2 linked regions of the Stegostoma tigrinum genome follow. The protein of the gene in region 2 purifies or fractionates together with the protein of the main gene of each other region. This does not show direct contact. Links are inferred from orthologs where the notes say so. Each region holds a gene or a part of one and is shown on either strand. Other genes may lie near its edges.

The links.
Region 1: the proteins of dbnlb (region 2) and neurl4 purify together in Homo sapiens (co-immunoprecipitation; 4 studies listed by BioGRID and IntAct, counting the BioPlex papers as one, with this or other methods). This does not show direct contact. The link is inferred for Stegostoma tigrinum from reciprocal best matches to the Homo sapiens genes DBNL and NEURL4.

What each region holds. Positions count from the first base shown.
Region 1 is NC_081398.1:13,791,727-13,807,391, reverse strand, and holds the start of neurl4 (neuralized-like protein 4), read right to left. Parts: upstream 7,646-15,665; 5' UTR 7,504-7,645; coding exon 7,339-7,503; intron 1-7,338. Other genes in the region: gps2 (G protein pathway suppressor 2), read left to right, coding at 8,666-8,759, 13,599-13,708. UniProt on the Homo sapiens protein: Promotes CCP110 ubiquitination and proteasome-dependent degradation. By counteracting accumulation of CP110, maintains normal centriolar homeostasis and preventing formation of ectopic microtubular organizing centers.
Region 2 is NC_081393.1:1,034,878-1,050,784, forward strand, and holds the start of dbnlb (drebrin-like b), read left to right. Parts: upstream 1-7,710; 5' UTR 7,711-7,771; coding exon 7,772-7,854; intron 7,855-14,648; coding exon 14,649-14,704; intron 14,705-15,907. UniProt on the Homo sapiens protein: Adapter protein that binds F-actin and DNM1, and thereby plays a role in receptor-mediated endocytosis.

The sequences.
Region 1 (15,665 bases), on a different chromosome or scaffold from region 2:
CATACTATTATGCTCTGGCAGAGTGGCAGTCTTGATGGCAACATGATTTCAACCTCAGAACCGGAGGGTCATGGAGCATGTGCCAGTCTGTTTACTCCAACTCACCGTTTAGTTTGGGGGGGTACACTGCTTCACTTTGTGAACACATACATGCCTCAGCTGAGACCAGAGCAGACATGCTTCTTCCAACTGTCTAACTGAGCTCCATCGATGAGGGCAAAAATCATTCTCCTTGGAGCAAGATTTTAATTGTCCTCTCAAGGGGAGGGTCTGTAAAGGTGATCAGAATAATTCGGTATTAGTGGGGAAGTTGAGGGACTTGGTCAAGTCATTTGACTCGGTAGACATTTGGCAGAATCTCAAGTCTGGAGTTAGACCATCCAAGATTGACCAGCTCTACACGGTCAGGTCATACATCTCCTGCGTCTGATGGCCTCCACGTGGCAGGTGCCATTCATCGATCACAAACTGGTGTGGGAGGCACGTGTTCCCTTCTGCATAAGGGGGAGGCTGGCATACTGGCACAACCTGCCGTTGGAGGACAGGCAGTTCCAGAACTTGTTCTGACACTTCTGGGCCAACTGGAGAAGGAAGCTGAGAGGGCTTTGCGCCTCCTTTAGGCTTTAACGTGGGCAAGTTTCATAGAATCATAAGAATTCCTACAATGCAGAGAGAAGTTTTTTGGCACATCGAGTCGGCACTGATCCTCCGAATAACATCCCACCCTCCCTCCTCATCCCGTAACCCTTTTGCTATGGCCAATTCACCTAACCTGAATGTGGAACGTGGGAGGAACCGGAGCACACAAGGGCAACCTAGGCAGGCATGGGGAGAACTCACATGCATGTCTTCAAGCAGCAGTATGCGTGGTGGTCAAAGGGGCGGAAATCCAGATGCAAAGAGTTGGAGAAGGAGACGCTCAATCTGGAGAGCCCAATGTCGACCAGTTCCTATTGAGACCGTACGAAGAGAAGAAGGACATGCTCCGAGAGCTGCATCTTGTTGAGTCCTGGGATGCGTATGTGAGGTTGCAGATCCAGTTTCTCAAGAACTAGACTGTGGCTCCTTCTCTTCTATTCGTTGGAAATAAAGTACCTTGTGCTGCTTGCTGACAACAGATCTCACATCTTGGATCTGGACAGTATCAGAGTCCAAGTAAAGGACTTCTATTCCCATGCTTTTCTTTCCAGATCTATCCAGTGAGGAAGCTCACAAAGTTCTGTGGTAGGACCTGTCACAGGTCAGCCTGGAGGGTGGGGAGAGGATCAATGCCCCTCTGAGGATGTCCTTGGGGACGACTACATCTGGGTCATCAAGGAATATATCATGACTGATGAAATGCCCCCTTGTTGGCAGAGAGCTGTCATAACTCTATTGTCTAAAAAAGGGGCATCTCCATTTATTGAAGAGCTGGTGTCTGGTCTCCCTACATAGCTTGGACTACAAAATCTTGGCCATGGCACTTTTGTCTCACTTCAGTACCATGCTGGATCACGTAATCCACCCATATCATACTTACCAGTCCCAGGCTGGAGCATTCACAAGAGCATCAACCCAACCGGGATGTGACCCTTCATTCCCAGAGGACTGGTCTTGAGTGCCCTTTCTCTCCCTTGATCAGGGATAGGCATTTGACAGAGTGGATCACAAGTGTCTACTTGGGCCTCTTTGAGCTTTTGGGTTTGGGACACACTTTGTCGCCCAGATTCAACTTCTGTACACTGCTCTGGAGTACCTAGGGAAGGTAACCAGGTCCCTCATGGGACCCGTGTACTTCCGGAGGGGAGCGCACCAGGGTCACCCTCCCTGTCTGGACAATTGCATTCTCCTTGTGTGGAGTCATTCGAGTGCCTCTTGCAGAGGTGGCTGTCGTCTCAGGTTCTGTGAAGGAGCTGGGGTGGTCCTTTCAGTTTAAGCCAACGACATGCTCCTCACGTTTGTGGAAGCGGCTGACTTACGGAAGAGGCACAAGTGCCAGATGGTCTACTCTGTGGCGTCCTCCATGAGGATCAAGTGGAGTAAGTGTTCAGGACTTCTGGTGAATCTGTGGCAGTTGGACTTCCTGCCGGAGCAGCTTCAGCGGTTCTTGTGGAGTATCACTCACCTCCTCTACCCGGAATGCCACGTTTGCCCTGCCGAGGAATCCTGGCCAGTGAGTTAGCACAAATAGCCAAGGTGATTACTCACCAAAGACACGAGACAGGGCTACTTGAAGAGTCATTTTACAGGGCACGAGGTCTGGTCATAAACCAGATGGGAGCTGCCACATTATGGTACTGGCTGCTCACTTTGGTCCCAACCCCTGGCTTTGTCAAACCATTCACAAAAGGGTCATAGCATTTTTCTGGGACAAAAAGCAACACTAGGTCCCTGCTGCAGTTCAGATGGGGGTCTGGCACTGGTGTGCCTCCACACCTGGGTAATGACTTTTTGCCTTCAGACTCTGCAGTGACACCTTTACATTGGCCCTCCAAGTTGTTGCGCCCTGATGATGTCATTTTTCTGTCAGGTGCACAGCCTCTATACTGACATGCAGTTCCTGTTCACAGAATAGTCTCGCTCTTGAATCTACTCCCAAGAATTGCCTGTCTTTTACTTGGACTTGTATCTGGAACATGGTCAGCTCATGTTGGATTGCCACTCCTATAAGAGTGGCAGCTATTGTGAGGGAGCCACTGCTCAGGAATGAGTTCCTCCATCAGCGTGAACTCTGCTGGCTGAAGTAGGGGAGGGCTTGGGATGCTGGGCTGACCAGGGTCAAGGCTGTGTTAGATGGAGGAGGAGTGGGCTGAGTGACACTGCTGCAGCTGGCCGAGAGGGTTCACAGCCTGACCCATACGTAGCCTGAGGCACAACGTGCTCAGCCCCGATGCCCTATGCAAGACCCAGACAGCTCAGGCGTGTGCGCAGCGGGCTCCCGGCTGAATTGACTCCTGTACGTTCGGAACCCGACATCAGTCCTGCACAAGCCACCCTTCCCCATGACGTGGTGCCTCACAATCTGAGCTGTCTTTCAGAAATCACTGCACAGAGGTATTTCCTGTACTGGCTGCTGTTGCACTCTCCACTTCTGCACCTTCATCTGTTGCTTCGAGACTATTTTGCCCTCCAGCTGCAGAGATCCCCAGCGGAGGGCCATTTACAAAGAGGTCCTTCCCCTTTCCTCTGGGGATCCGGGGTGGAGAGTGCTGCATGTGGCAGGCCGGTACACCATAGGATGTGAGTCCACTGGATGCCAGGTGACGCGTAATTTTTGTGCTTGACATCGGTGTAGAATGTTTCCGTTTGCAACTCCTTTTTGGTTTTTGAAGGGGTTGCTTCTTCAATTTTGCTTGCACTTCAGTCCCATGGTCCTGATCTACGGACACCTAGTGCAGGCTGACAAGTTGGTGGGCCTTCTGCTGGGTCTGGCCAAGATTTCCCCCATTCCTGATGGGGTGCCACGCTTTCACAATTATGTTTGAGCTGGGGAGTTGCTGAAGACAGAGCAGTGCTCACAGATACAGCAAAGTTCTTTGGAGACCATTGGGCACCACAAAGCCTGGGCAGCATTGAATCACAGGCTGACAGGGTGGTGAAGGCAGCATTTAGCATGCTTGCCTTCATTGGTCAGTGCATTGACTATAGGGGTTCGGATGTCATGTTGTGGCTGTACCAGACATTGGTAAGGCCACTTCTAGAATTTTGCACACAATTCTAGATGCACTTCTACTGGAAGGATGTTGTTAGACTTGAAAAGGTTCAGAAAAGATTTACAAGGACATTGCTGGGACTGGGAGGCTTGAGTCATAGGGACAGGTTGAGGGAGCTGGGGCATTTTTCACTGGAGTGAGGGCAGCTGAGGTGCAATCTTACAGGGGTTTATCAAATCATGAGGGGCATGAATTCGGTGAATAGTCAAACTTTTTCGAACGGGAGGGGAGTTCAAAATTAGAGGGGATAGGGTTTAAGGCAAGACAGGAAAGATTTACAAGGTACCCAAGGGGCAACTTTTTCACACAGAGTGTACTGTGTGTATGGAATGTGCGGCCAGAGGAAGTGGAGGAGACTGGAACAATTACAACATTTAAAAGGCATCTGATGGGTATATGAATGGGAAGAGCTGAGAGGGAGGTGGGCCAAATGCTGGCAAATGAGTAAGCCCTCCAGATTGGGGTCCCATAAGTCGAACGAAAGGATCTGTTTCCATGCTTTATGGCTCTATGGGTCTACAACATTATTTTGACATGGGTAATTTCTGTTTGGTTCTGTAAGTTTCCATTTGACTGTTAGTTTATGTTCAATTGCAATACGATGCACAGCAGTAAGCGTTTCATTATTATTATTTTGGACTTCCAGTTTTCATAAAAGAAATAGAACATAGAACAGTACAGCATTGTACAGGCCCTTCTGCTCCCCATGCTGTGCTGAACTTTTACCCTAAACCTAAGGTCTATCTAACTCCCACTGCTACCTTATACTATCATCCATGTGTCTATCTAATTGCCGCTTAAATGCTCCTAATGAGGCTGAGGCTGACTCCACTACCCTCTCCGGCAATGCATTCTATGGCCCAACCACTGTCTGAGTAAAGAACCTACCTCGGATGTCTCCCCTATATCTACCGCCATTCACTTTATAACTATGCTCCCCTCATAATAGCTACCTCCACCCGAGGAAAATGTTTCAGGCTGTCCACACTATCTATACCTCTCATCATTTTGTACACCTCTATCAAGTCACCTCTCATCCTTCGTTGTTCTAAAAACAGAAAGGCCCTAGCTCTCTCAACCTTTCCTCATAAGACCTTCCCTCCATTCCAGGCAACATCCTGGCAAATCTCCTCTGCACCTTTTCCAACGCTTCCACATCTTTCCTGTAATGAGGTGACCAGAAATGGACACAATATTCTAGACGTGGCCAAACCAGGTTTTTGTATAACTGGAGCATAACTTCACTGCTCTTGAACTCAATCCCTATTAATGAAAGCTAACACACCATATGCCTTCTTAACAACTCTATCCACTTGGGTGGCAGCTTTCATGGAACCGTGGACATGAACCCCACGATCCCTCTGCTCCTCCACGCTGCCAAGAATCTTTCCGTTAACCCTGTGTTCCATTTTCAAGTTTGTCCTTCCAAAATAAACCATTTCACACTTTTCAGGGCTAAACTCCATCTGCCACTTCTCAGCTCAGCTCTGCATCCTATCAATGTGCCTTTGTAACATAGTGCGGAGGGCTGTTCTATCTACAATTTGACCCACCTTCATGTCGTCTGCAAACTTACTAATTCACTCTTCCACTCCTACACCCAGTTCATTTACAAAAGTCAAAAACAGAAGGGGACCCAGAACAGATCCTTGTGGTACACCACTCATAACTGAAAATGAAGGAGTTTATTCTGCATTTAACCCTGTGCTGCCACAGTTCCAGAGTGTTTGATGGGGATGGCATCAGTGGACCATTACTTAAAGTTTACTTTTAGTTCAAAGAGTGGAGATGGCTTTACTCTGTACTTAACCCTCTGTTGTTCCTGCCCCGGGAGCGTTTGACACAGATGGAGGTGCCTTTCAGTTTTAAGTGTAGAGGAAGTGTTAGTTTCAGTTTTAAAACCGTAGAGGATGCTCTGATTTCAGTTTACCATAGAATCCCTACAGCATGGAAGCAGGCCATTTGGCCTGTCACACCAACAGCGGCCCTCTGAAGACCATCCCATCTAGACCCACCCTCCTGCCTTAACCCTGCATTTCCCATGTCTAATCCACCTAGCCTGCACGTCTCTGGACATTATGTCCAATTTAGCATGGCCAATCCACGTAATCTGCTCATTTTTGTGGGAGGAAACTCAAGCAGACATGGGGAGAATGTGCAAATTCTATACACAAGGTTGCCTGAAGGTGAAAGTGAACCCAGGTCCCTGGCACTGTGAAGACAGCAGTGCTAACCACTGAACCACTGTGATCTTTACTCTGCACCAAAACGCCTGCTTTATCTCTTCTTGTGGTGTTTTAAGCAGACGTTGTTGAGGGGGCTTTACTTTCAGTTTAAAAGTGTAGAAGTATATTCTGTATCTAGCCCTGTGCTGGGAATGTTTGATGTGGACAGTGTACAGACAGCCTCACTCATTATGTAACCCTGTGATGCCCCCATCCTAGACATGTTTGTTAGGGTCAATGTTGAGCAAGCTTTACTTTCTATTTATTTTCAGTCTGAAAGACTAGAGAAATCATGTGCTGTTCCTCCCCTGGGAGTGTTGGATTGGAAGAACATAGAGGCAACACTTTGTATCTAATCATACGTCACCCTTGTCTTGGGAGGGCTTAGTGGAGACACAGTCAAGTACCCTGTAACTAACCCTGTGCTGTACCTGTTCTGAGAGTATTTGATGGCTGACATCTGGTGCAAACCATCACATGGAGCACACAAGGGCCCTCGAAACCAGATGGTGCAGTCCCACTGACAAAGCTGTGGCACCAGGCCAGTGAACCAAAGCATCACCTTGGTTTCCTTCTCTACACTAGCACTGCCCAGTCTTTTGCGCCCTTCCGGGACCTTCTACCAATGTTCCATTCCCTGGCGCCTCTGCACCTGGCCCTTGCCAGGAGTTGGCACTGTCCATCACATTGGGCTGCCTTCACTTGGGGGCTGGGGGGGAACCCTCGAGATGGTGTCCAAGGGCATGCTGGGGAGGAACCTTTACAAAATGACCAGAGAGGGATTTTGAATTTTTAAAACTGGGGACGGCAGGGGGCTACTTGACAAGCCACGTCGAGCCGACAGACAAATACCAGCCCGGGGGGGGGGGGGGGAAGAGGGGGTGCTTAGGGTCCTCTCTGCTGCAAATTGGGACAAGCTCCAGCTTTTTTCTGCTGGACCAAGTTCCACTCATTACATTTAATCCTCTAGCGATATCCACGATGTTTTTTTTTGGGGGGGGTGTCGCAATTATGATTAAATATGATTTAAGAAAATAAAATCACAAAACCTGCTATAGCGATGTTAAAGCTGGGGGGGGGGGTGTGTTCCCCCTTTTTACCTGCTGAGATTCCCCTTCCCGTGCACCTTCTGGTGTAGGCCTCAATCACCGGTGTTTCTTACTGAGCTTACCCCTGGGTATGAGGGTGGGGGTGAGGGTGAGGGTGGGGGTGAGGGTGAGGGTGAGGGTGGGGGTGGGGGTGGGGGTGGGGGTGGGGGTGAGGGTGGGGGTGGGGGTGAGGGTGGGGGTGGGGGTGAGGGTGAGGGTGGGGGTGGGGGTGGGGGTGGGGGTGGGGGTGAGGGTGGGGGTGAGGGTGAGGGTGGGGGTGGGGGTGAGGGTGGGGGTGGAGTTACAAACATCTACATCTCCCCCTGGACTCACCTTCCTGTCGATCCGGACCTGGAAGAGCTGCCCGTCCCCCAGCGGCTCTCGGCTCATCGCCAGCCCGTGGTTGAACTCCTCGGTCGGCTTGTTACGCTTGGCCGTGCGGTTGCCGTTCAGCAACGCCACCAACTTGCCGGTCCTCAGGTGGAACTCGGCCGCCATTCCGAGAGCGGAGAGAGGGGCTTACCGCCCCCTCCTCAGCCCGCTCCTGCTCCACGACAGCCTTCTCAACCGGGTCCTAAAGGAGTAACAGGGCCGGGGAGACTAACCCGCTTGACGGCTGCGGGGCAGCTGTATCGAAATCCGCTTTACGACGGCAGCGCCGTTTGATTTGACCGCCCCTCCGCGCTGGAAACCGGCGGCTCCGCTTTACGATCCCGTCGCGCGCCAAGGCCGTCGCCCGCTTCTCAGCGTCCGTCTCGCTTTACGGCTGCGGGGCGGATCTGACGGTGGGCGGGCGGAGTGTGATGGCGTTGGTGGAGTGAAAAGAGAGAGAAGAGAGAGAGAAAAGGAGGAAAGCGGCCCGGGGCCTGGAAACAGGGAATGGTGAGGGGAAGAACAGGGTGAGGGTGATGGGGACCTGGAGCTGCGGGATGTGGGGGAGATCAAGGAAAAGACCCGTGGAGAGAGGAGAAGGGTAGGTGGGAGGGGTGTTTGTGGAAGTGGTTGGGTAGAACAGTGAGAGGGAAATGGAGAAGGGAGGACATACCGATGAGAGTGGAGGGAATGGGGCACAGTTCTTGAGAATCCGGGAAGAACAGGGAGATTTGGGGAGAGCACAGCACCCTATGTGTAGCCAGCGTGTTTTGAAAGAGAATGCAATCTGTGGGAAGCCTGGCCTCTTGTCCTCCTGGGGTCTAATCCAGTATGGCTCTGGCTGTGGCTCATTCTGGGTTTCAAGCGAAACAGAATGGTATTGACTGGTTGATCCGGAGTTATTTGTTTGTGGTACGTTCTGTGTAAAGTGTGGGCTTCACTAGCCGAGCCAGCATTTACTGGTCATCCCTATTTGCCGTGGTGGTGAGACGCCACCTTAAACTGCTGCAGTCCCTGAAGTATAGGGACAGTGCTGTTAAGGGAAAGTGGGAAGTGTGACCCAGTTGCTGTGAGGAAACAGCACTGTAGGTCCAAGTCAAGTGTTTCAGAGGGGAACTTTTAGGAGTTCTAGTTAGCTGTGCTACACCGGGTGGTCTTGGGAAACAGTGTGGTGACTGTAGGTTTTCCAGATTTACTCTTGCGATTCTGTACCTCACACAAAGCTGATTTATGGCTTTTTCTCACCTGTTTTAGGTTCTAGTGTCTGGATCCTTCTGAAACAGAGACGATGCCCGCCCTACTGGAACGACCCAAGATGTCGAGCGCGATGGCGCGAGCTCTTCACCAGCACATCATGAAGGAGAGAGCACGGAAACGACAAGGTAGAAGTGCTGGGAAGGAAGTGTGAGTGTGCTCACACAATGTCTGGCAGGTAGATCAGGGCGGGACAATCTGGCAAAATGCTCAACAGAAAAATCTGCATGTGTCATGCTGTCACTGGCTCCCTGGGATATGTGCTGTTGTTATATCAGAATGCTGTGTTGTTATTGTTATGATCTGGTAGATGCCTGAAAGGGCAGCTTAAGCAGATCCAACTGGGCTTTCCAGAAGGGGAGTGCACAAGAATTTTGCAGGCCTCTGGGACAAAAGTGCTCGAGACCGTTGGACAAAGGAACACAGGGGAAGCCATTTGGCTCATATCGACCTTTATGCCAATCTGGGAGATGACGACTAATTATTCAAAGACTCTTTCTCCATGTTTTTGTGTTTCTCCCCTGGCTGGGGAGCATTCTTCCTTCTCGAAGAATTTTATCCATTTTAATTAGATCTCTGCTCATTCTTCTAAACTCAAATATATTGGATCTGTCTGTTCAAATTATACACGTAGAATAATTTCAGTATCCAAGGGATCAGGTTGAGATCATCTGCAAAGAATGTGGGTGCAACTCACTCAATCATTCCTCGCAGGACCTTGCCCACAGCCTATTAATCAATCCAGGGAATCTTCAATCCTATGCTACCCATAAGTCAGTTAAGGCATAAACTGGATAACTCTCACTCTTTTCTGGTGCCCTCCCCCTCTGCCTTGCCGGTGCCCTCCCTCTGCCTGTTGACCTTGCCATTGTTCTGTCTGTTCCTCCTATCCACTCCCATTCTGCGTGTTGCTCCACCTGCTTTGCCAAGCTTCATAACTCTCTAGCTCCACCTATGTCCCCCACTAGTTGGTCTATCCATCCCTGAGAGATCTACCCAGCTAGTTTCATTCTCCAGAGCTCTCCATCTCCACCTCCACCACTCTTCCAGGCAGCTCATTCTAAATCCTAACAACACTGAATAAAGATTTTCTCCTCATCTCACTCCAAGCCACCTTGCTGACAATTTTGAAATTGTTGTTACTGACATACCAACCAGTGGAAACAGAATATGCTTCTTTATTCTGTCAAAATTATTCATAAATTTTAACACTTCAATAAGGTCATATCTTAATCTTCTCTGCTCCATGTAGCATAAGCCAGATTTCTCTAATCTTATCTTGTATCTAAAATTCCTAATTCCTGGTATCATTCTAGCAAATCTCCTTTGCACTCTTTCCAGACCTTTAATGTCCTTCCTTAAATAAAGTGCCAGGACTAAGCACAGTCCTCTTAATTTGGTCTGATCAATGATTTGTAGAGGTGTAGCATCAGTTCCTTCCTTTTCTATGCTATACTTCTTTTTATAAAGTCAAGACTCCTATAAGCCTTAGTAACAACTGCTCCAACTTGTCTGGCCATCTTCAGAGAATTATACATGTGAACCCCGAGGTCCCGCTGCTCCTGTATTCCCTTCAAAGTTGTACCTTTGAGCCCATACTGTCTCACCCTGTCTCCTCTGTCAAAGTGCACTATCTTGCATTACTCTGCATTGAAATTCAGGTATTGCATATTTGGAAAACTTGCCAATATCTCTGCGAAGCCGCTCAATGTCATCCTCTAATTCACTATTCTACCTCAGTTAGTATCATGTGCAAATTTAGAGATTTTTCCCTCAACACCTATCTCCAAATTGTTCTTTTAAATCAGAAAAGGCAAGGGTCCCAACACTGATGCCTGAGATACATCACTTTCAACTTGTCTCCAATCTGCAATATGCCCACTTTACCCTCTTGCTCCTACCTTTTAGCTAAATTCTAATCCATGCTGCAAGATTCCATCAATACCAAACATTTCTAATTTGCTAACCATCCTGGCATGTGGCACCATATCGAATACTTTCTAATGTCCAAATATACAACATCCACAGCACTGCCTTCATCTGCTGCCTGGATCACCTTGTTAAGGAACTCAATTAAATTTGTCAGACATGACCTGCTATTGGCAAAGTCATGTTGACTGTCAAATATGAACTTACTTTTCTTTAAGTGTAAAACAGTCCTAAAACAGTGGCCCCTAATCACAAGAGGAGACATCTTTTCCATGTTCTCTTTGTCAAAACCATTTAGTATCTTATATCTTTCAATCAAGTCACTCCTCACTCTGCTAAACTCCAGTGGAAGCAAGACTGGCCCATCTAACCAATCCTCGTAAAACAACTTGGTCCAGCTCTCAAGAGTAAATCTCCACTGAACAGTCTCCAATGCATTTAATCCTTCCTTAAATAAGGAGACCAAAACTGAATGTAGTATTTGAGATGTGGTCTCACCTATGCCCTGTTTAACAGAAGCATAACATTCAAACTTTTATATTGAATTTCCCTGGTAATAAAGCATAGCATTCCATTAGCTTTATCGGTTACATGTTGTACCTAGATACTAAAGTCTTGTGACTTCTGGACTAAAATACCAAGATATAGCTACCTATCCAGAGTTCTAAAGTTATTTTCTGTTGAGCAGCACGGCATGGTGGCTCGTTGACTAGTACTGCTGTCTTCACAGCAGCAGGGACCTGGGTTTGCTTCCACCCTTGGGTGACTGTCTGTACTGAGTTTGTGCATTCTACCCTTTTCAGTACGCGTTTCCTCTGGGTGTTCCGGTTTCCTCCCACAGTCCAAAGATGTGCAGGTTTAGTGTATTGACAATGCTAAATTTCCCACAGTGTCCACGGATGTGCTGAGTGGATTAGCCATGGGAAATGCAGGTCTGTAGGGATAGGAACGAGGGTCTGGGTGCTCTTGGAGGGTTGGTGTGGACCCGATGGGCTGAATGGTCTACTTCCACACTGTAGGGATTCTATGAATACTCTGCCTTTTGATTCTTTCAGTGTGTCAACCTTGATGGAAAGAGATCACTGGAAATTAAGTGCCTGTATTCCACAAGTTTTAGGATTACCAATTTAATCTCTAGGATGGTTAATATCTGATTGTGATCACTGTCTAAGAGAAAAGTAGCTCACACCAGGTTTTAGCAATGAATGAGAAACCAAAAACGTATTTATTATACTAAGCTTATTCTCTCATGTGTGACAAAAACAGATTATTAATTACTAATGTGCAAATTTAAGCTGAAGCCCTTGAAATCCAAACACACACATTGATAAACGGCAAGGACAATGCAAACAGTTTTTCGGGAATATTGTTGGGGGATAATAGGCAAAATCAAACAATGTCTGTGGATCAAGAGTCCAAATGCTGAAATAAGTGTCGTGACTTTTTCATTATTCTTTGATTTTTGGTGCTGTATTGTTGTTGACTTTGGCAAACCTCATGTCAGTAACTAGTCATTTGGGCTTTGGCCTTGCTTAAGCTCTCTCTTGACAAAGCCTCTTCAGTGTTAGTTTGTTTCTATTCAGAGCGAGGGTGGGCGAGCACAGTCTGGTTTGCTGAGGGTTTTTGGAGTCATGGCAGCCCAACTGCGCTCTCTCCTCTCAGTTCTGTGATGAACTTCTGCTTACAACCAGTCCAAAAGCTGTTGCTTGCCAGTTTATGTTTTTCCTAACTAAGGATCTTGGTGCCAGCATGTGTCTCAGAAGTATCAAATCCAATTTGTCTCAAATGTCATAAATGCTTGTGTGGCCCAGGAGTGAACAGCGCACAGTCCAACTTTTGTTTCCAGTTATAAAGATAAAATTTGGTTTGCTGGTTTATATTTCCAATAAAATACGTAGTCCCTACGCCTGCCAAAGTAAACGACTCACGTTTGACCACATTGCACTGAATGTACAAGACCTCTGCCAATTGGCTCAATCTTTGTCTGTCTGCAAACTCCTCCTCCATAGCATACTTTCCTACCTATCATAGTGTCATTTCTGAATTTAGCAACTCTGCCTTCACTTCTCTCATTGATATATAACTATAAATGTTAAGGCCCCAGCAAGTGTGGGACCCCATTCATCACATCCTGCCAATGGATCCGTTTATACACACTCTCTGTTTTCTGCTAGCCAACCAATCTTCTATCCATGTGAATACATTACCCCCAAAACCATGACTTTTTCTTTTCCACAGTTGCCCTAGTATCCCAGAGACTGAATGGGACCTGGCAGGATAGAGCTAAGGGCCTGAGACCCAGTTAGCTGTCTTTGATCCACCAAAACAAGATGGTGGGGAGTGGGTGTGGGTGGCAGGAATATGGATGGATATGGTGCCTGAGGCTTTGTGCACTAAAAGATTTGAAACCCTCTGAGTGTCATGGAGCTAGCCCCAAGTGTTATCTTTTCTGCAACCTCTTATTCAGTGCAGCAGGAGGCTATTCAGTCCCTTTTGAGCCTGTTCCATTATACAGGAAAGTGGTGGCTGATCTATGACCTAATTCCATGTAACTGGCTTTACTGTGTAAGAAAACTGCAAACCTCAGACAGGAGTCGGAAGAGGCCATTTGGCCCTTCAATTCTGCTCCACCTTTCAACAAGATTGTGGCTAACCTGTTTGTGGGTTTCAGTCCACTTGCCTGATTTCCTCCTCTAATTTTCCAGTAACTCCCTTATTGATCAAAAATCTACCTATCTCAGCCTTTAATAAGTTTAAAATCCCAACCTCCACTGATTTCTAGGGACGAGAATTCCACACACTGTAATGACCCTCTGAGAGAAAACTGTTCTCCTCATCTCTATTTTGTTTGAAACAATGTCCTGCAGTGCCAGTCTTCCTCATAAGAGGAAACAGCCTCCTGGTATCTTTCCACTCCCTACAGGACCACGCATGTTTCAATATGATTACCGCTCATTCTTCTAAACCCCAATGGATACAGGCATCTAATTTAAATTGAGAAATGAAATCTGTAACTGCTGCCCTTGTGGCCATTGCAGAGGAAGAGGAGGTGGACAAAATGATGGAGCAGAAGATGAAAGAGGAGCAGGAACGGAAGAGGAAGAAAGAGATGGAGGAGCGCATGTCACTGGAAGAGACGAAGGAACAGGTAAAGTTTGTGCCTGGTGGGGGTGGAAAAGTTTGTCTGGCTACTGAATCTAGACGCAGATTGAGGTGGCGATTGGTGATTGAGGCATCGCCTCAACTCAGTGGGAATAAGTGCCCTCAACTGGCATGAATCCATTGCCTTCGTTTCAAGAGGGCACACATGCCTGTTGTGGGAAATCAATGGGATATGGTTGTGACACGGAAGGATTTTTAGATGCCGGAAACAGGGCATTGCCTGTGCAACAGTTTTCTAGAGGTTTACAGCACAGAAAAACACTCTTTGAGCCATTCAGTGATAATTGGAAGTGCAGATGCTGGAGAATCTAAGATAACAAAGTGTGAAGCTGGATGAACACAGCAGGCCCAGCAGCATCTCGGGAGCATAAAAGCTGACGTTTCGGGCCAGGACCCTTCATCAGAGAGGGGGATGGGGAGAGGGTTCTGGAATAAACAGGGAGAGGGGGGGGAGGCGGACCGAAGATGGAGAGAAAAGAAGATAGGTGGGGAGGGGATAGGTCAGTCCAGGGAAGATGGACAGGTCAAGGAGGGGGTGATGAGGTGGTAGGTAGGAAATGGAGGTGCGGCATGAGGTGGAAGGAAGGGATGGGTGAGAGGAAGAACAGGTTAGGGAAGCAGAGACAAGCTGGGCTGGTTTTGGGATGCAGTGGGGGGAGGGGAGATTTTGAAGCTTGTGAAGTCCACATTGATACCATTGGGCTGCAGGGTTCCCATGCGGAATATGAGTTGCAGTCCTTGCAACCTTCGGGTGTCATCATTGTGGCACTGCAGGAGACCCATGATGGACATGTCGTCTGAGGAATGCGAGGGGGTGTTAAAATGGTTTGTGACTGGGCGGTGCCGTTGTTTATTGCGAACTGAGCGGAGGTGTTCTGCAAAGTGGTCCCTGAGCCTCCGCTTGGTTTCCCCAATGTAGAGGAAGCCACACCAGGTACAATGGATACAGGATACCACATTGGCAGATGTGCAGGTGAACATCTGCTTAATACGGAAAGTCATCTTGGGGCCTGGGATGGGGGTGAGGGAGGAGGTGTGGGGGCAAGTGTAGCACTTCCTGCAGTTGCAGGGGAAGGTGCTGGGTGTGGTGGGGTTGGAGGGTAGTGTGGAGCGGACAAGGGAGTCACGGAGAGAGTGGTCTCTCCGGAAGGCAAACAAGGGTGGGATGGAAAAATGGCTTGGGTGGTGGGGTCAGATTGTAGATGGCGGAAGTGTCAGAAGATGATGCGTTGTATCCGGAGGTTGGTGGGGTGGTATGTGAGAACGAGGGGAATCTACTTGGGGCAGTTGTGGCGGGGGTAGGGTGTGAGGGATGTGTTGCGGGAAATGCGGGAGAGGGCATTCATGACCACTGTGGGGGAGGATGTTGCGGTCCTTGATGAACGTGGACATCTGGGATGTGTGGGAGTGGAATGCCTAATCCTGGGGGCGGAGGCGGAGGAACTGGGAATAGGGGATGGAATTTTTGCAGGAGGATGGGTGGGAGGAGGTGTATTCTAGGTAGCTGTGGGAGTCGGTGGGCTTGAAATGGACATCAGTTACAAGCTGGTTGCCTGAGATGGAGACTGAGAGGTCCAGGAAGGTGAGGGATGTACTGGAGATGGCCCAGGTGAACTGAAGGTTGGGGTGGAAGGTGTTGGTGAAGTAGATGAAATGTTCGAGCTCCTCTGGGGAGCAAGAGGCTGCGCCGATACAGTCATCAATGTAACAGTGGAAGAGGTGGGGTTTGGGGCCTGTGTAGGTGCGGAAGAGGGACTGTTCCACATAACCTACAAAGAGGCAGGCAGAACTTGGGCCCATGCGGGTACCCATTGCCACCCCCTTTGTCTGGAGGAAGTGGGAGGAATCGAAAGAGAAGTTGTTGAGGGTGAGGACGAGTTCGGCTAGGCAGATGAGGGTGTCGGTGGAGGGGGACTGGTCAGGCCTGCGGGACAGGAAGAAGC
Region 2 (15,907 bases):
TGACTCAGCCTCTACAGTCCTTTGATGCAGAATTTAACAGGTGCACACCAAAAAAGAAACTCATCGGTTTAAACGTGTGACCTCCTACTCGGAGATGAAGCTGTTTGGTCCTAGACTTTTGCACAAGGATAGATTAGTTTCCGTATCTACTCCGTCAAGTCCCCCAACAATCTTGTATAATAAGGTTGTGCACCATTCTTCTAAATTCCAGTAAATGCCCACCCAATTTACTCAATCTTTCAGAAAAACAGTCACTCCACATCTAGGACCAGCCAAGTGAACCTTTTCTGGACTGTTTCCAGTGCCAATTTCCCTTTCTTAGACAATGGGCCCAAAACTGTTCTTGGAATTCTCACCATGGTCTGATGAGGGCCTTTACAATTTTTAGCAAAGCTTTCCTACTGTTATATTCAATTGCCTTTGAAATAATTCCCAACATTACATGTGCTTTCCCCAAATCCATGCCTGAAGTAGTAAATCAACATGTGCACCCTTGGTTTATCCTTTTGCGCTTGAAATCAATCTAACAGTGAGTGTGATTGACCTGTTGTATTGTCTACCATAGCTGAGAAAAAGTCTCAAGCGACAGCAATCAGCATCTACTGAAGTCATCAGATTAGAGTTGGTCTGCTCTCAGCTGGAAAAAAAATGCAGAGAAATGAAATCCCACTTGACAACTTGCTGTGTTGTGGGCAATACCTACAAAAAGGAAGGCAAACAAGTGGCAAGTTTTTGTCTACTCCTGGATACGAAGAGTATTGAGACTGGCAACGTGCCTCTCAATCAGATGATAGCCTGGAGATTTTATCACTGGGCTATTCGGACCCAGATTATGATCTGGAAATCCGGATTCAAATCCTGCCATTACAGATGGTGGAATTTGAATTCAATTTTTAAAAAAAGTCTGGGATTAAGAGTCTAAAGATGACTGCAAAACCATTATCAATTGTTGGAAAAGCACATCTAATTCACTACTGCCCTTTAGGGAATGAGACTGCATCCTTACCTGGCCAGGCCGAAATATGACTCCAGACCCACAACAACGTGGCTGACTCTTAACTGCCTTCTGGGCAACGAATCCTCACAGAGCCAGCAATGCCCTCATTCTGCAAATGAATAAAAAACAGCTGAAGAAATGACATATGGTGCGGGCTACGTTGTACCCTTCTCTCTGAATGTTCTCAAATGCGCTGAATCCAATTATTTTCGAGAGACCCATCTATCAGCATAACCAAGTTTAGTTTCAAACAAGTCAAACTTTCTCTACCACCTTAAGTTGCAGCCTGTGTCATCCAGCAAGACCTACTGAAGTGGAAGATGGAAGGAGGGAAATAAAGGCAGACATTCAGAGACTTCTGTATGGTCAGCCTGTCTCCTCAGTCTCCACATTGAACAGCAATAAACATAGGAATAAAGGGTCACAGAAAACAAATCTTCAGGTCCAACTCATCTCTGCCAACTTGATATCCTAAATTAATCTAGTTGCATTTGGCCCATAGCCCTCTAAACCCTTCCTATTTGTGTACCCATCCACATGCCTTTTAAATGTTCTAATTGTACCAGGCTGTACCAACTTTTCTGGCAGCTCATTCCCTAAATGCACCACCCTCTGCGTGAAGAGGTTGCCCTTTAAATCTTTCCGCTCTCACCTTTAAACCTCTGCCCTCTAGTTTGGACTCCCTCCACTGCAGGGAAAAGACTTTGTCTATTTACCCCATCCGTTCCCCTGATGATTTTACAAACCCCTATCAGGTCACCCTGAGCCTCTGACACTCCAGAGAAAACAGCTCCAGTCTATTCAGCCTCTCCCTACAGCTCAAACCCTCCAACGCTGGCGACATTCTTGTACATCTTTTCTGAAACCTTTCAAGTTTCACAACAGGGAGGCCAGAATTGCACACACTATTCCAATAGTTCCGAACCAATGTCCCATACAGCTGGCTCCATGTCCACCCAACTCCTGTGCTCAATGCACTAATCAATAAAGGCAAGCATAGCAAATGCCGTAACTATCCTGTTTCCCTGCAACTCCACTTTCAAGGAACTATGAACATGGATTCCAAGGTGTCTTTGTTCAGCAACACTCCCCAGAACTTTATCATTAAGTCCTGCCCTGAGTAGTCTTTCCAAAACGCAGCAGCTCACATTCAACTCCATCTGCCACTTCGCGGCCTAGTGGCCCATCTGATAAAGATCTCATTGTACTGAGGTAACCTTCTTCGCTGTCCTCCACATCTCCGACAAGGCTGAGGAGCAGGTGGTAGACATTCGAATCCTCTACACGATCATGGCTGATCTCAAATAAACTTTACTGACTACACACTAGAACCGCTGATCCCTTCTTTATCAGAACCACCCTAACTTAACCTTGTCAAGATACTGAATGATGCAGCCTCTGCTGCTTTCTGGGACAGAAAAGTTCACTTCACATATGTATCTAAACCCAGGGACCTTTTACTCTTAGATAACAAAGTGTGGGGCTGGATGAACACAGCAGGCCAAGCAACATCTTAGGAGCACAAAAGCTGACGTTTCAGGGCTAGGCCCTTCATCAGATTTTAGTCTGCCCCACATGAGGGAACATTCTCGCGTTATCCACCCTACCAAGTTCCCTCAGGATCAGATCTCCACAAGGTAACCTCTTGTTCTTTTAAACTTCAATGCTAACACAGCAACCTGTTCAACCTCTCATAAGCCCTTCGTTCTGGGAATGAGCTAAGTTAACTTTCTCTGAACTGTGTGGAAGAAAACTATATCCTATACAGCTGCAGTTAAACTTTGACTTGGATATCATATTCCCCTTGCAATGAACAATATTTCATCCTGCTTCCTAATCATTTGCTGTGTCTACATACTTAATTTTAAAAGCCTTGTACCACAACACTCAGATGTATTCTGCATTACCATCAGTTAAATAGCATACTGCTATTCTATTCTTCCTGCCAAAATAAAAACGTTGCTAACTTTCTACATTATATCCCTTCTGAAAACTTGTACCCATTCACTTCACCTTGCTATAATACTTTGCAGATCTACCTCATCTTGGCAACTTTACTTTTCTACCTCCCTTGGTATTATCAACTTTTGATCGCATATGTTCGGTACAGTTATTGAAAAAATGAATATGTATTATAAACAATTGAGAAACCAGTGGAGACCCATGACTGTCAACCCAAAAAGAATCTTGTCTTATTCTCTGCTTCCTGTAAGCCAATCAAATCTTCAGACATGTTTATTTGATACCATCTACACCACAAGCTGTTTGATTTGGCTGCTTATAAAATTACAATTGGACATCTAAAGACACCATAACTACTTGTTTCCATCTATCCATTATGAGAGTCACTTTAAAACTAAAAGAACTGCAAATGCTGTAAAATCAGGACCAAAAACAAAGTTGCTGGAAAGGTTCAGCAGGTCTGGCACCATCTGTGACGGAGAAATCAGAGTTAATGTTTTGGGTCCGGAGACCCTTCCTCAGAACTTGATTAAACAGGCTTTCCTATTCATATAGTGTCAGGTCTGCTGGATAACACCATTTTCCAAGTAACTTTATATAACCTCCTTAATAATGGGATCTACAATATTTCTGACAACTGATTTTTAAGGTAACTGATTTTTAAGATTTGAACATATCCTTGTTTCCAAATCCAGTCTTCTGGTACCTTCCCAAAATGGAAGAAATTGTTGGAGATTACAAAGAAAAGATCCTCTATCTGTGCAAGATAATAAAATGTGAGGCTGGATGAACACAGCAGGCAAAGCAGCATCTCAGGAGCACAAAAGCTGACATTTCGGGCCTAGACCCTTCATCAGAGAGGGGGATGGGGTGAGGGTTCTGGAATAAATAGGGAGCGAGGGGGAGGCGGACCGAAGATGGAGAGAAAAGAAGATAGGTGGAGAGAGTATAGGTGGGGAGGTAGGGAGGGGATAGGTCAGTCCAGGGAAGACAGACAGGTCAAGGAGGTGGGATGAGGTTAGTAGGTAGATGGGGGTGTGGCTTGGGGTGGGAGGAAGGGATGGGTGAGAGGAAGAACAAGTTAGGGAGACAGAGACAGGTTGGACTGGTTTTGGGATGCACTGGGTGGAGGGGAAGAGCTGGGCTGGTTTAGGGATGCGGTGGGGGAAGGGGAGATTTTGAAACTGGTGAAGTCCACATTGATACCATTAAGCTGCAGGGTTCCCAGGCGGAATATGAGTTGCTGTTCCTGCAACCTACGGGTGGCATCATTGTGGCACTGCAGGAGGCCCATGATGGACATGTCATCTAAAGAATGGGAGGGGGAGTGGAAATGGTTTGCGACAGGGAGGTGCAGTTGTTTGTTGCGAACTGAGCGGAGGTGTTCTGCAAAGCGGTCCCCAAGCCTCCGCTTGGTTTCCCCAATGTAGAGGAAGCCACACCGGGTACAGTGGATGCAGTATACCACATTGGCAGATGTGCAGGTGAACCTCTGCTTAATGTGGAATGTCATCTTGGGGCCTGGGATAGGGGTGAGGGAGGAGGTGTGGGGGCAAGTGTAGCATTTCCTGCGGTTGCAGGGGAAGGTGCTGGGTGTGGTGGGGTTGGAGGGCAGTGTGGAGCGAACAAGGGAGTCACGGAGAGAGTGGTCTCTCCGGAAAGCAGACAGGGGTGGGGATGGAAAAATGTCTTGGGTGGTGGGGGTCGGATTGTAGTTGGCGGAAGTGTCGGATGATGTGTTGTATCTGGAGGTTGGTGGGGTGGTGTGTGAGAACGAGGGGGATCCTCTTAGGGCGGTTGTGGCGGGGGCGGGGTGTGAGGGATGTGTTGCGGGAAATGCGGGAGACGCGGTCAAGGGCGTTCTCGATCACTGTGGGGAGAAAGTTGCGGTCCTTGAAGAACTTGGACATCTGGGATGTGCGGGAGTGGAATGTCTTATCGTGGGAGCAGATGTGGCGGAGGCGGAGGAATTGGGAATAGGGGATGGAATTTTTGCAGGAGGGTGGGCGAGAGGAGGTGTATTCTAGGTAGCTGTGGGAGTCGGTGGGCTTGAAATGGACATCAGTTACAAGCTGGTTGCCTGAGATGGAGACAGAGAGGTCCAGGAAGGTGAGGGATGTGCTGGAGATGGCCCAGGTGAACTGAAGGTTGGGGTGGAAGGTGTTGGTGAAGTGGATGAACTGTTCGAGCTCCTCTGGGGAGCAAGAGGCGGCGCCGATACAGTCATCACTGTACCGGAGGAAGAGGTGGGGTTTGGGGCCTGTGTAGGTGCGGAAGAGGGACTGTTCCACGTAACCTACAAAGAGGCAGGCATAGCTGGGGCCCATGCGGGTGCCCATGGCCACCCCCTTAGTCTGTAGGAAGTGGGAGGAGTCAAAAGAGAAGTTGTTGAGGGTGACCGCCCAGTTCGTCCCCTCCCCCCACTGCACCACACAACCAGCCCAGCTCTTCCCCTCCACCCAGTGCATCCCAAAACCAGTCCAACCTGTCTCTGCCTCCCTAACAGGTTCTTCCTCTCACCCATCCCTTCCTACCACCCCGAGCTGCACCCCCATCTACCTACTAACGTCATCCCACCTCCTTGACCTGTCCGTCTTCCCTGGACTGACCTATCCCCTCCCTACCCTACCTCCCCACCTATACTCTCTCCACCTATCTTCTTTTCTCTCCATCTTCGGTCCGCCTCCCCCTCTCTCCCTATTTATTCCAGAACCCTCACCCCATCCCCCTCTCTGAAGAAGGGTCTAGGCCCGAAACTTCAGCTTTTGTGCTCCTGAGATGCTGCTTTGCCTGCTGTGTTCATCCAGCCTCACATTTTATTATCTTGGATTCTCCAGCATCTGCAGTTCCCATTATCTCTATCTGTGCAGCCAGTTCTCTTTAAGATCTTTGGATATAGGCCATTGGATCCTGGCACTTTTGCTTTGGTGATAGTGATTACATTTTTTCGAAATGCATTCCTCCCTATCACCTCGTGACTGTTTGCTTATCTTTGGGAAGACTTTCCCCAGTCTCCTGACAAGTAGACAGCTACAAACCATGCGTTCAAAGTCTCAGACGTCCCCGGAAGACTAACACTAGCTTTCGTTACTTTTTTTACCAGTTGTTGAAGTATTTGCCAAAGTTCTTCCAATCTGTTTTTATGCTGCTGGCAACCTTTCCCTGACACCATCCACCTTTCCTTTAACGTAAAAGCCAGACCAAAGACTAATCTTGGGAGGGGCAGGAAAGTCTAACGTTTCAGGTTGGGGCCCTTTCCTACTCCTCAGAAACTGTCTGACCTGGTACGAGCCTCCAACTCCATACTTTATCAACTCATACTTCCAGCATCTGCAGTCCTTGCCATCTCCTAGCCTTTGGGGTTTGTAAAAGGAAAATTAAAAGCAGTTTTTCATTTCAACTGAACACTGATCTTCACCCAGCTAACAATCCTTTTGTAAGAGTTTTCCCTTGCTCACTGGGCCAAAACCAGAATGTAGACCCTCACAGAACTGGTACCTCCCGGCACCACGAGCAACGCTCTGACCTATTAATTCCGAATCGGTTAGGGAAGGATACCCAGACTGAGGATACACGCCCCTGGGCCCGTCCCACCCTGGGGACAGTAGTTGCGGTGGTAACTCTCCCCTCACCAACAAACCCACGGCCACTCGCCACAAGCACCGCGCCAAAGCCCGCGACAGGAGGACACACCCGGCATCGCCTTGCCGCCCCTCATTGGCCGAGGGGTACACACTAGCTCTCCACTCATTGGAGGAAAAAAAACTCCGTCATCCAAACGACCGTTGCCCGCGTGCTCCCACCCCCAACCACCGCGACCCCTTAAGGCCTCGGCCGAGATGTTCTTCCCATTCGCTGAGGCGTACACACCGTCTCCCGGCTCATTGGCGGAAAAGGGAGTAGGCCCGAAACATCAGCCTCGCGACTCCTCTGCTGATGCTGCTTGGCCTGCTGTGTTCATCCAGCTCCACACCTTGTTATCTCATTAGAGGAAACAGTCCGTCATCCAATCCGCACTATGTTCGTCCCCACCCCGCTTCCCGATTGGCTCTCTGGTGGGGGCGGGAACTGCGCTCCTACGGCTCTGCCCATATGTCACTCAGACTGAGGCACGTGCTGTCTTTCTCGCGCGACGCCCGACGCCGGCGCTAGACTTTCTGCAAAGGTCTTTGCCTCTCACCCTCGCTGCCTACCATGAGCGGCTGGATAGGATTGACGTCCACCGGTATAAGACTGGGTTCAGAGATAATGGGAACTGCAGATGCTGGAGAATTCCAAGATAATAAAATGTGAGGCTGGATGAACACAGCAGGCCAAGCAGCATCTCAGGAGCACAAAAGCTGACGCTTCGGGCCTAGACCCTTCATCAGAGAGCCCCTCTGATGAAGGGTCTAGGCCCGAAACGTCAGCTTTTGTGCTCCTGAGATGCTGCTTGGCCTGCTGTGTTCGTCCAGCCTCACATTTTATTATCTAAGACTGGGTTCAGTTGACCGAACGCATTTACCCCTTTATTATGGAGCCGAGGAGGTGTCGTTGGTTAGTTGACAAAAATACTTTAGAGGTTGGCTTTCAGTTAACAGATACTGTGTTGCCTTTGGAAAGGGGGTGGACGGAGAAGTTCTGATTAATTGCTGGGTTGTCGCTGTCTGAAACAGAGCGTTGGGAAAATGCGGACCCCGAGCCGGCGCGCATGCGCGTTTGGAGTCGCGCCGGCGGCTGTGGGGCGGGCATGTGGCTGCAGTACTCAGAGCATGCGCGGAGGTCCTGGAGAAAGGGTGTGTTGTGCGCCTGCGTGGTTGCCGCTCAGGAAAAATGGCGCTGAACCTCAGTCGCAATGGGCCCGTTCTGCAGGCTGCCTATCAGGATGTGGTAAACGACAAGGCCGCTACTGACTGGTGAGTTGTGGTCAGGGCGAAAGAAGATTCAGTAGGTTCCAGATTGAACCTGGATTTTGAGGAGGGGAAGGGAAAGCGGAAGGTTGCAGGTGGTCGGGAGTAGAGGCTCCTTTTCGAGTTTGTTGAAGGTGTAACATTGACTGATGAAGTTTGGTTGCTGGGTGTGGTGTTCGTTTGTGTGGAGAAGGACTCGAGCCTTTCGACGCCGGGGGTTGTTCGGCCCGTTGTGTCTATGGTGCCTCTCCCGATCAGACTTTGACTCTGTACTGTTGCCATGCCTCCCTGTGCACACATTCTGAGAATCCCTACAGTGTGGAAACAGCCCTTTAGCCCAACAAGTTCCACACTAACCCTCTCGGCATCCCACCTAGATCCATCCCCCTATAAACCCACCTAATCTACACATCCCTGAACATTATGGGCAATTTAGTATGGCCAGTCCACCTAACCTGCTCATCTTTGGACTGTGGGAGGAAACCAGAGCACCTGGAAGAAACCCACACAGACATAAGGAGAATATGCAAACTTCACACTGACAGTTGCCTGGGGGGTAAAATTGAACCCAGGTCCCTCATGAGGCAGCAGTGCTAACCACTGAGCCACCGTGCTGCCAGACAACAGTCAAAAATCTTATCTGAATGTCTCCAGTCACCTTAACTCCACTGCCCACTCGGGTTCTAGCTGCCAGCCACTTGCTGCATGAAAGGAAGTTCTCCTCTTGATGTTTTTTTTGTCAATGAGTTTAATCTGTGACCTCTGGCTTCCATTAGTTGCATTGTTTTTTTTGTTTTTATCCAGACTTGGGATTGGATTTTGAATATGATTTTGAATACCTTTGTCAAATCATCTTCCAGTCTTCTCTGAAAATTACGTCTGCAGTCACTCACTTGCAATCACAATCTTATTTCACTGAAATTCTTATCCCCAGAATCATTTATGGAGTATACACTTGTATTTCCAGAAGAGCTGTGCCAAAGCTACATGGTAGATGGATGATAATTTAATGGGATCCAATAATAAATTCTGTTGGGCTTTAGCTTATGAGAATGACCAGGAGGTGTATATTTGTATTTACATTTGAGTATAAATTAAGTGGTTATAATTGCTGATAATAGCCTAAATTGGCCATGTAGTTGATGCAGCGTAAGTTGTAAATGATAGCAAGATGCTGTGCATTGACTTGGTGAGTGAAACTAAATGTTAAAGAATAAATGAGATATGTGAATGGGTAAAGCAAACAAATTTAAGGGGTGGAGTAGAATTGTTTGAATTAAGTTTGGCTTGTTCACATGAATGTTAATAGATTACAACTTGCCACTTGCGGTGCTATTGTAGGTGCAAAGGTAGTGAGGTATAGAATCTTAGCACAAAGCAGAAAAATAAAGAAAACAAAGTTTTATAAAAAGTGAAACATTACTGTCCTCCTTTGTAAGAAGTAGAAAAGCAAAGGAACACAGTTAATAGTTAAACACAATAGTCCATAAGGACCTGGCCACTTCGAGTTTGCACTCAATGACTTGACCTCTCCCCTGTCACTACTCTGGGCTGGCTGCTGTTCCTGCTCCCACTTCCGCCTTGGAGTGCCAGCTACCCTGGGCTGCCAGTACTTGCTGCCTAACAGCCTGCGGCTGCTCTTGCTGCCAAATACCTTGCAGGAGCAGCAGCCCACGTGCATGCTATTCAGCCACCATCTTGAAAGGGATTGGATATAGATCTTGAGGAAGAAAGGGACTTTAGAACCAATGCAATTAGATCCCTGTAAGTGACAGAACAAGTAAGGTACTATAAGAAGGCATATACAATTCTTTCCGTTTTTAACTGTGGAACAGGAAGTCAGTGTAAAGAGTTATGCCAGGACACTGATAAAGAATTGGATGTTTATCAGAAAACCATGAGTATTGATTAATGCACATATTTGGGATGGAAGACAGTGTCATAAAGCATGCCTTAGGGATTTATGTTGGGACATTCCCTGAGATATGTTACAAGTGTAGGCCGTCTTGTGCAAGGGCATAATTACCAAGGTTGCAGAGGATGCAAAACTATGAAACATATTTAACCAAGGAGAATGGTGTAGAATTTCAAAATGACGGAAGAATTCATGGAATGTGCTGATAGGCAGTTGATGAAACTTGGTGTAGAGATGTGTAAAGTTTGGTAGGAAGAACATGGAAAAATAATGAAAAAAAACTTGAAAAGGGGTGCAGGAACAGCAGAAACTGGATGAATAGGTGGAAAAATCATTACAGATGACAGGACAGTTTGAGGAAAAAAATACTCAAGCAGTCAGTATCCAAGGCTTTATTCACAGGACATAGAGTACAACAGCAAGTAGGTTGTGTTGAACTTGGATAAGTTGCTAGTTTGGCCTCAGCTTGCAGTACTGCATCTAGTTCAGTGTGCTGCATTTAAGAATGGATGTAAAGACGGAGATAGTGCAGAAGATGTTTTTGGAAATGTTTCGAGGATTGAGAAATCTCAGATATGAGGATAGATTAAAGAAATCAGATCTGTTTTATTAGAAGCAAAGAAAGCTGAAAGATGTTTGACTTTGGTCAAGGACTGTGAAAGAAGAACTTGAGCTGTTAAACAAACAGGAAGAACAGGAAATCAGGAACTAGTGATTGCACAACACCAGCCACATGGCAAAATTTGCATGCTTTATGCTGATTTGTTCATGTCGCCACTTGGATTTTAGTTTAACTGCCAAAATGCAATCATGAGCACGCTCCATCTGTGATAACAAAGTGTGGAGCTGGATGAACACAGCAGGCCAAGCAGCATCCTAGGAGCACAAAAGCTGACGTTTCGGGCCTAGACCCTTCATCAGAAAAGGGGGATAGGGAGAGGGGGAGGCGGACTGAAGATGGATAGAGGAGAAGATAAGTGGAGAGGAGAGTATGGGTGGGGAGGTAGGGAGGGGATAGGTCAGTCCGGACAGGTCAAGGAGGCAGTATGAGGTTAGTAGGTAGGAAAGGGAGGTGGGAGGAGGGATAGGTGAGAAGAACAACATGTTAGGGAGGCAGGGATGAGCTAGGGTGGCCTTGGGATGCAGTGGGGGGGAGGGGAGATTTTTGAAGCTGGTGAAATCCGCATTGATACCATCAGGCTGCAGGGTTCCCAAGCGGAATATGAGTTGCTGTTCCTGCAACTTGGGGTGGCATCATTATGGTACTGCAGGAGGCCCAGGATGGACATGTCATCTGAGGAATGGGAGGGGGAGTTAAAATGGTTCGCGACTGGGAGGTGGAGATGTTTATTGCGAACTGAGCGGAGGTGTTCTGCAAAGCGGTCCCCAAGCCTCCGCTTGGTTTCCCCAATGTAGGGGAAGCCACACCGGGTACAGTGGATGCAGTGTATCACATTGGCGGATGTGCAGGTGAACATCTGCTTGATGTAGAAAGTCATCTTGGGGCCTGGGATGGTGGTGAGGGAGGAGGTGTGAGGGCAAGTGTAGCACTTGCTGCGATTGCCGGGGCAAGTGCCGGGTGTGGTGGGGTTGGAGGGGAGTGTGGAGCGGACAAGAGAGTCACGGAGAGACTCCATCTGTGACTTTGGTTTGACTTTTCTTGGTGCCACCTCCTAACCTCGACTCCCATTGCTTGAGCAAAGCCTTGCTTTGTACATCTGCAATTTACTTTATGTTCAGATTGTTATTCGCTGATAAGCAATTTAGTATGTGGGCCTGTTCCTAATCACTGATTACCAACAGGTCTACATTGGTGCTTGTGGTACACGGACAACTTGTATTATTCGTTCTGGTTAAACTGAAAAAGCTTATCTAACCCTACAGTTCCTTTTCCACTCTGAGTACTTCCAGCTTCTTAAATGATTTACATCATTCATCTCAAACACTCCCTATGAGAGTGAATTTTGCATGCTCCCAAAGCTCTGTATAAGAGCTTTCTTCTGAATTCCTTGTGAGGATTTTTTAGTGGCCATTTTATAGCTCTTCCTCTCAAGAAGAAATAATTGTTCTGAATCCAGTCCATATGTATCACAGTCTCAATCTGGCTGCACCTCAGCCTTTTTAAAAGAACAAAATCCAAGGTATTAGTCAAGTATTTAAAGTCTGTTGCTTTTTGCGTTCGTTATATTAAATAAGACTTTCAAAAATAAAGCTGAGATGCAGTGTGAAATTATTTTGTCATGCTGAACAAAACTCGGTAAGTCAAAAGGACTGGTGTGAACCTATAAATATTCACAAACGTGAAGTGCTTATATGATGGTTAACCACAATTCACTGCCCCTCTCAGTTGCTTTGACCCCAGCAACATGTCTGTGCAAATGTTGAAATAGAGAATCAATTGTCGTCTGAATTTGACACAGCTGGAGGCACAAAATCTTTTCAGCTATGGTTTGCTGTCAGTGCTGTTTTCTGGTAATTTTATTAAGACAGTGAAGATTTTGTTATTGGACACATGACCATAGCCCAGGTTTTTGGAGTGAGCTTTCTGCCCTGTTGTTCAACTGACTAACTTTCTAAAGTACTGTACAGCAGATGCCACTTGCTTTAGAGAATTAAAACATTAATGGAGACAAACAGTGCAGTTCATCAAGCCTGTCTTCTCAACTTGGATAATCCTGTCAGTGGTTTCCTATCAGATTCCAGATTTCTCCATTTCATGTGAGTTGAAGTCATTGATGGCCTTCGAAAGACCTTCAGTTTTGTTTCTGGGCTCAAGTCATTACAAAATAATTTAGTTTCCGTCTTAAAAGTGGGTTTCATTTCATCATTCTTATCATAATGCAGAGCGCTCCTCACCAAAGATTCTTAATTCCAGACACTGAGTTCAGCTGTGATGGGAGTCAAACCCGGCTCAGAATATGAGCTGAGTTATGAATTAATAGCCAAGTTATTAAATCTTTATTAATAAGATTGCAATAACTATTATTATTAATGGCACCACGCCATCGTCAATCCCTCTTTTGTCAATGTCATTATGCCCCAAATGGTTCAGAGTGCACCAAGTAGTTGACTGCTGGCCATGATTGTAATGTAGGACTCAACAGCCTATTTGCGCTTAGTAAGATCCCACACACAGGCAGTGTTTTGATCACTAATCAATTCATTGAAGTTCTGATGTTTTAAAGTTGAATGATTGAAAACACTATGGGTAAACTATTCCTCTGGTTGGGCAAGCCCAGGACATGAGAATCGAGTTGAAGCTCGGACTGATGAGGCTTGATGTGACTACTCAGTTGGAGAAATGTGTGAAACACTTCAACAGGATTTGTAGTCTGCAATTGAAATCGCTGGTGCGAGGAATGATAGATTTCTGTTTGGGAGTGGTTTCATGACAGCATTGACATTGATCTAACTAAAAGACTATTGGGCTTATAGCACTGAATGGCCTCCTTGTTGCAGTTTAGGTGTGTAGAAGGGCTGAGCAGAACCTCTCCACTGTAACATTATCAACAAAACTTTGGGCAGCACAGATGTCATGCGCAAAATGGTCTCCATGGTTCTAAGAATCTACGATGAAGCATTCTCACTGTTGTTGAATCTGCACACATTAAGTTGTTCCTAATCAGGGTCTGTTGTCTTGCCTGGCGATTGCTCCACATGTTTCTTTTCCAGTGATGTACACTTTTTCAAACTTCTCTCTGCCAATGTAATAGCCCTTTATCATGCTTTGTATGCTCACATTCCTGACCAAGCTCCTAACACTACTTTGAGTGAAGAAGGGGATGACCAAGTATCAGAGCCTGTTTTTAAGGAGGAAGGCTTCGGTCCTTAAACAGGTTGGTTATAAAATAGCTCCTCTATTGGCCTGACTTGCTCAGTTAATTTAGTTAAAGTCTGGAAGTCTGCAAAATTCTGAGTGGTTTTGAGAAGGAAGTCAATAAGGACTTCCTTCTGGTAGGAGCGGATACAATGTTAAGATCACAGATAAAACCTGCTCTTTGAATGCAGAGCTGCTATGATCTGTGAAAAAGTGCTGGAAACAGACTGGAAAAGGGAATTGAGTAATGATTTGAGAATTAAAGTATTTGCAAAACTAGGGTAAAAGTAGTGTGAAAATTTAGTTTACACACAGTCAACAGGAAAATAGCAAGTTTGGGGAGATGGGAGGTCCTATGAAGCCCATGATTTCTCTTGGTGCCACAAGCATGAAGTCAACTGAATAAAAGCTGAGCAGTCTGCTACATGGAAAAATCTGATACTACTGGGCCTGGAATTGCAGTTTGTTTGAAGTCATGTAAGTTCTCCTCCTTCCAGTGCAAAGTAGTAGCAGAGCTGAGTAATGGTTTGTCACAAGCAGGTGGACACCCAGCACTCAGCTGCTGTGACAGATCTTTAAAATTTTGAGTCTCCGTTTGACAGACACTAGTCTGTACAATTTGGCTAGTTCATGCTAAGTCAGAGGAACACTCAGTCTGCCACGGTTCTGATTCGTTCCTGTATTTTCCTCTAATGTATCTAGCGTGGCAGTTAGAGGCTGTTGGCCCAGTATCAATTAAGGCCACTGTTGGAGACAAACAAAACCCCATAGTGCTAATCATCGAGTGGTTGCAACACTGTTTGCTGTCTTTTGAATGAGGTGAGAATTTCCTGGCTTACGGGGACTGAGATGGCAGGTTTGCATTTGAAGTGTGGCCTGTTTGAATTGGCCATCATTAACTGAGAATGTGGTGAACAACATTGCCTATGTATGTAAGTGTTATTGGAATAATGCCAAGTGATGGCTGCATATGGCAGCATTTGTCAATGCAGCTCATTTCCTTTCAAGAGCTGGGTGCTCTCTATAAGGATGAGAGGAAATCTGATTGTCTTGTTTTCTGTTTTTCAGGGCACTTTTTACATATGAAGGCAACAGCAATGACCTGCGGGTGGCAGGGACTGGAGGTGAGGTCACTTCATCTACTTGTCATCTGTGGCTGGTACTTATCAGGTTAACATAGTTAACATCACTGTGAAATGAATGGAGTTCTTGGTTCGACACTGGACTAGTTAGAGTTGATCTGCCCAGATGCAATAACAAGACCTTGCTGCCTGAGGCTAATTGTGTTTTGTCCCTTTGTGAAATACTTGTTTAATTGTACCCAGACCAGATGGACAACACCTCTGGGTTCAGAAGATGATAGCTGGACGCAATTGATGAGGCATTGGTGATGATCTTTCAGGAATCACTGGAGTCCGGGAGAATTGAAAAATGGCAAAGAGGCACCCCTGTTTAAGAAGAGAGGGAAACAAAAGATAGGAAACTATAGACCATTTACTCTGACCTCTATCACTGCTAAGATTACATTCAGTTTATTATTAAGGATGTGATTATGTAGTACTTGGAAGTGCACGGTAAAACAGGGAGAGAGTCAGCGTGATTTCATCAAAGGGAGGTCACATCTGACAAATCTTTTAGAATTCTTTGAGGTGGTAACGAGCAAATTTGACAAAGAAGAGCTAATGGATGTGATCTGTTTGGATTTCCAGAAAGCCTTTGACAAGGTGCTGCACAGGAGGCTCTTTGTGTGGAGCTGATGGCCTAGTGGTACTATCACTGAACTGTAAATCCAGGGACTCATAATGTTCTGGGGACACGGCTTCGAATCCTGCCATGGGCAATGGTGGAATGTGAATCGGATAAAATTTCTGGAATTAAAAATCTAATGATGACCATGAATCCATTGTTGATTGTTGGAAAAACCCACCTGGTTCACTAATGCCCTTTAGGGAAAGAAACTGCCATCCTTCCCTGGTCTGGCCTACGTGTGATGCCAGACCCACAGCAATGTGGTTGACTCTGAAGTGAATTAGGGTTGGGCAATAACTACTGCTTAGCCAGCAATGCCCTCATCCCATGAATGAATAAAGCATATAAGACCCCATGGTATTAGGGGCAAGGTATTGCCATGGATAGATGATTGGCTGACTGGCAAGAGTAAGAGGTAAAGGGATCTTTTTCAGGATGGCAGCTGGTGACTAGAGGAGTTCTACAAGGGTTTGTGTTGAAACCACAATTAATCACGTTATATATTAACCATCTGGATGAAAGAACTGAGGGCGTTGTTCCTAAGTAAGCAGATAGCCCGGAGAAAGATGGAAGAGCAG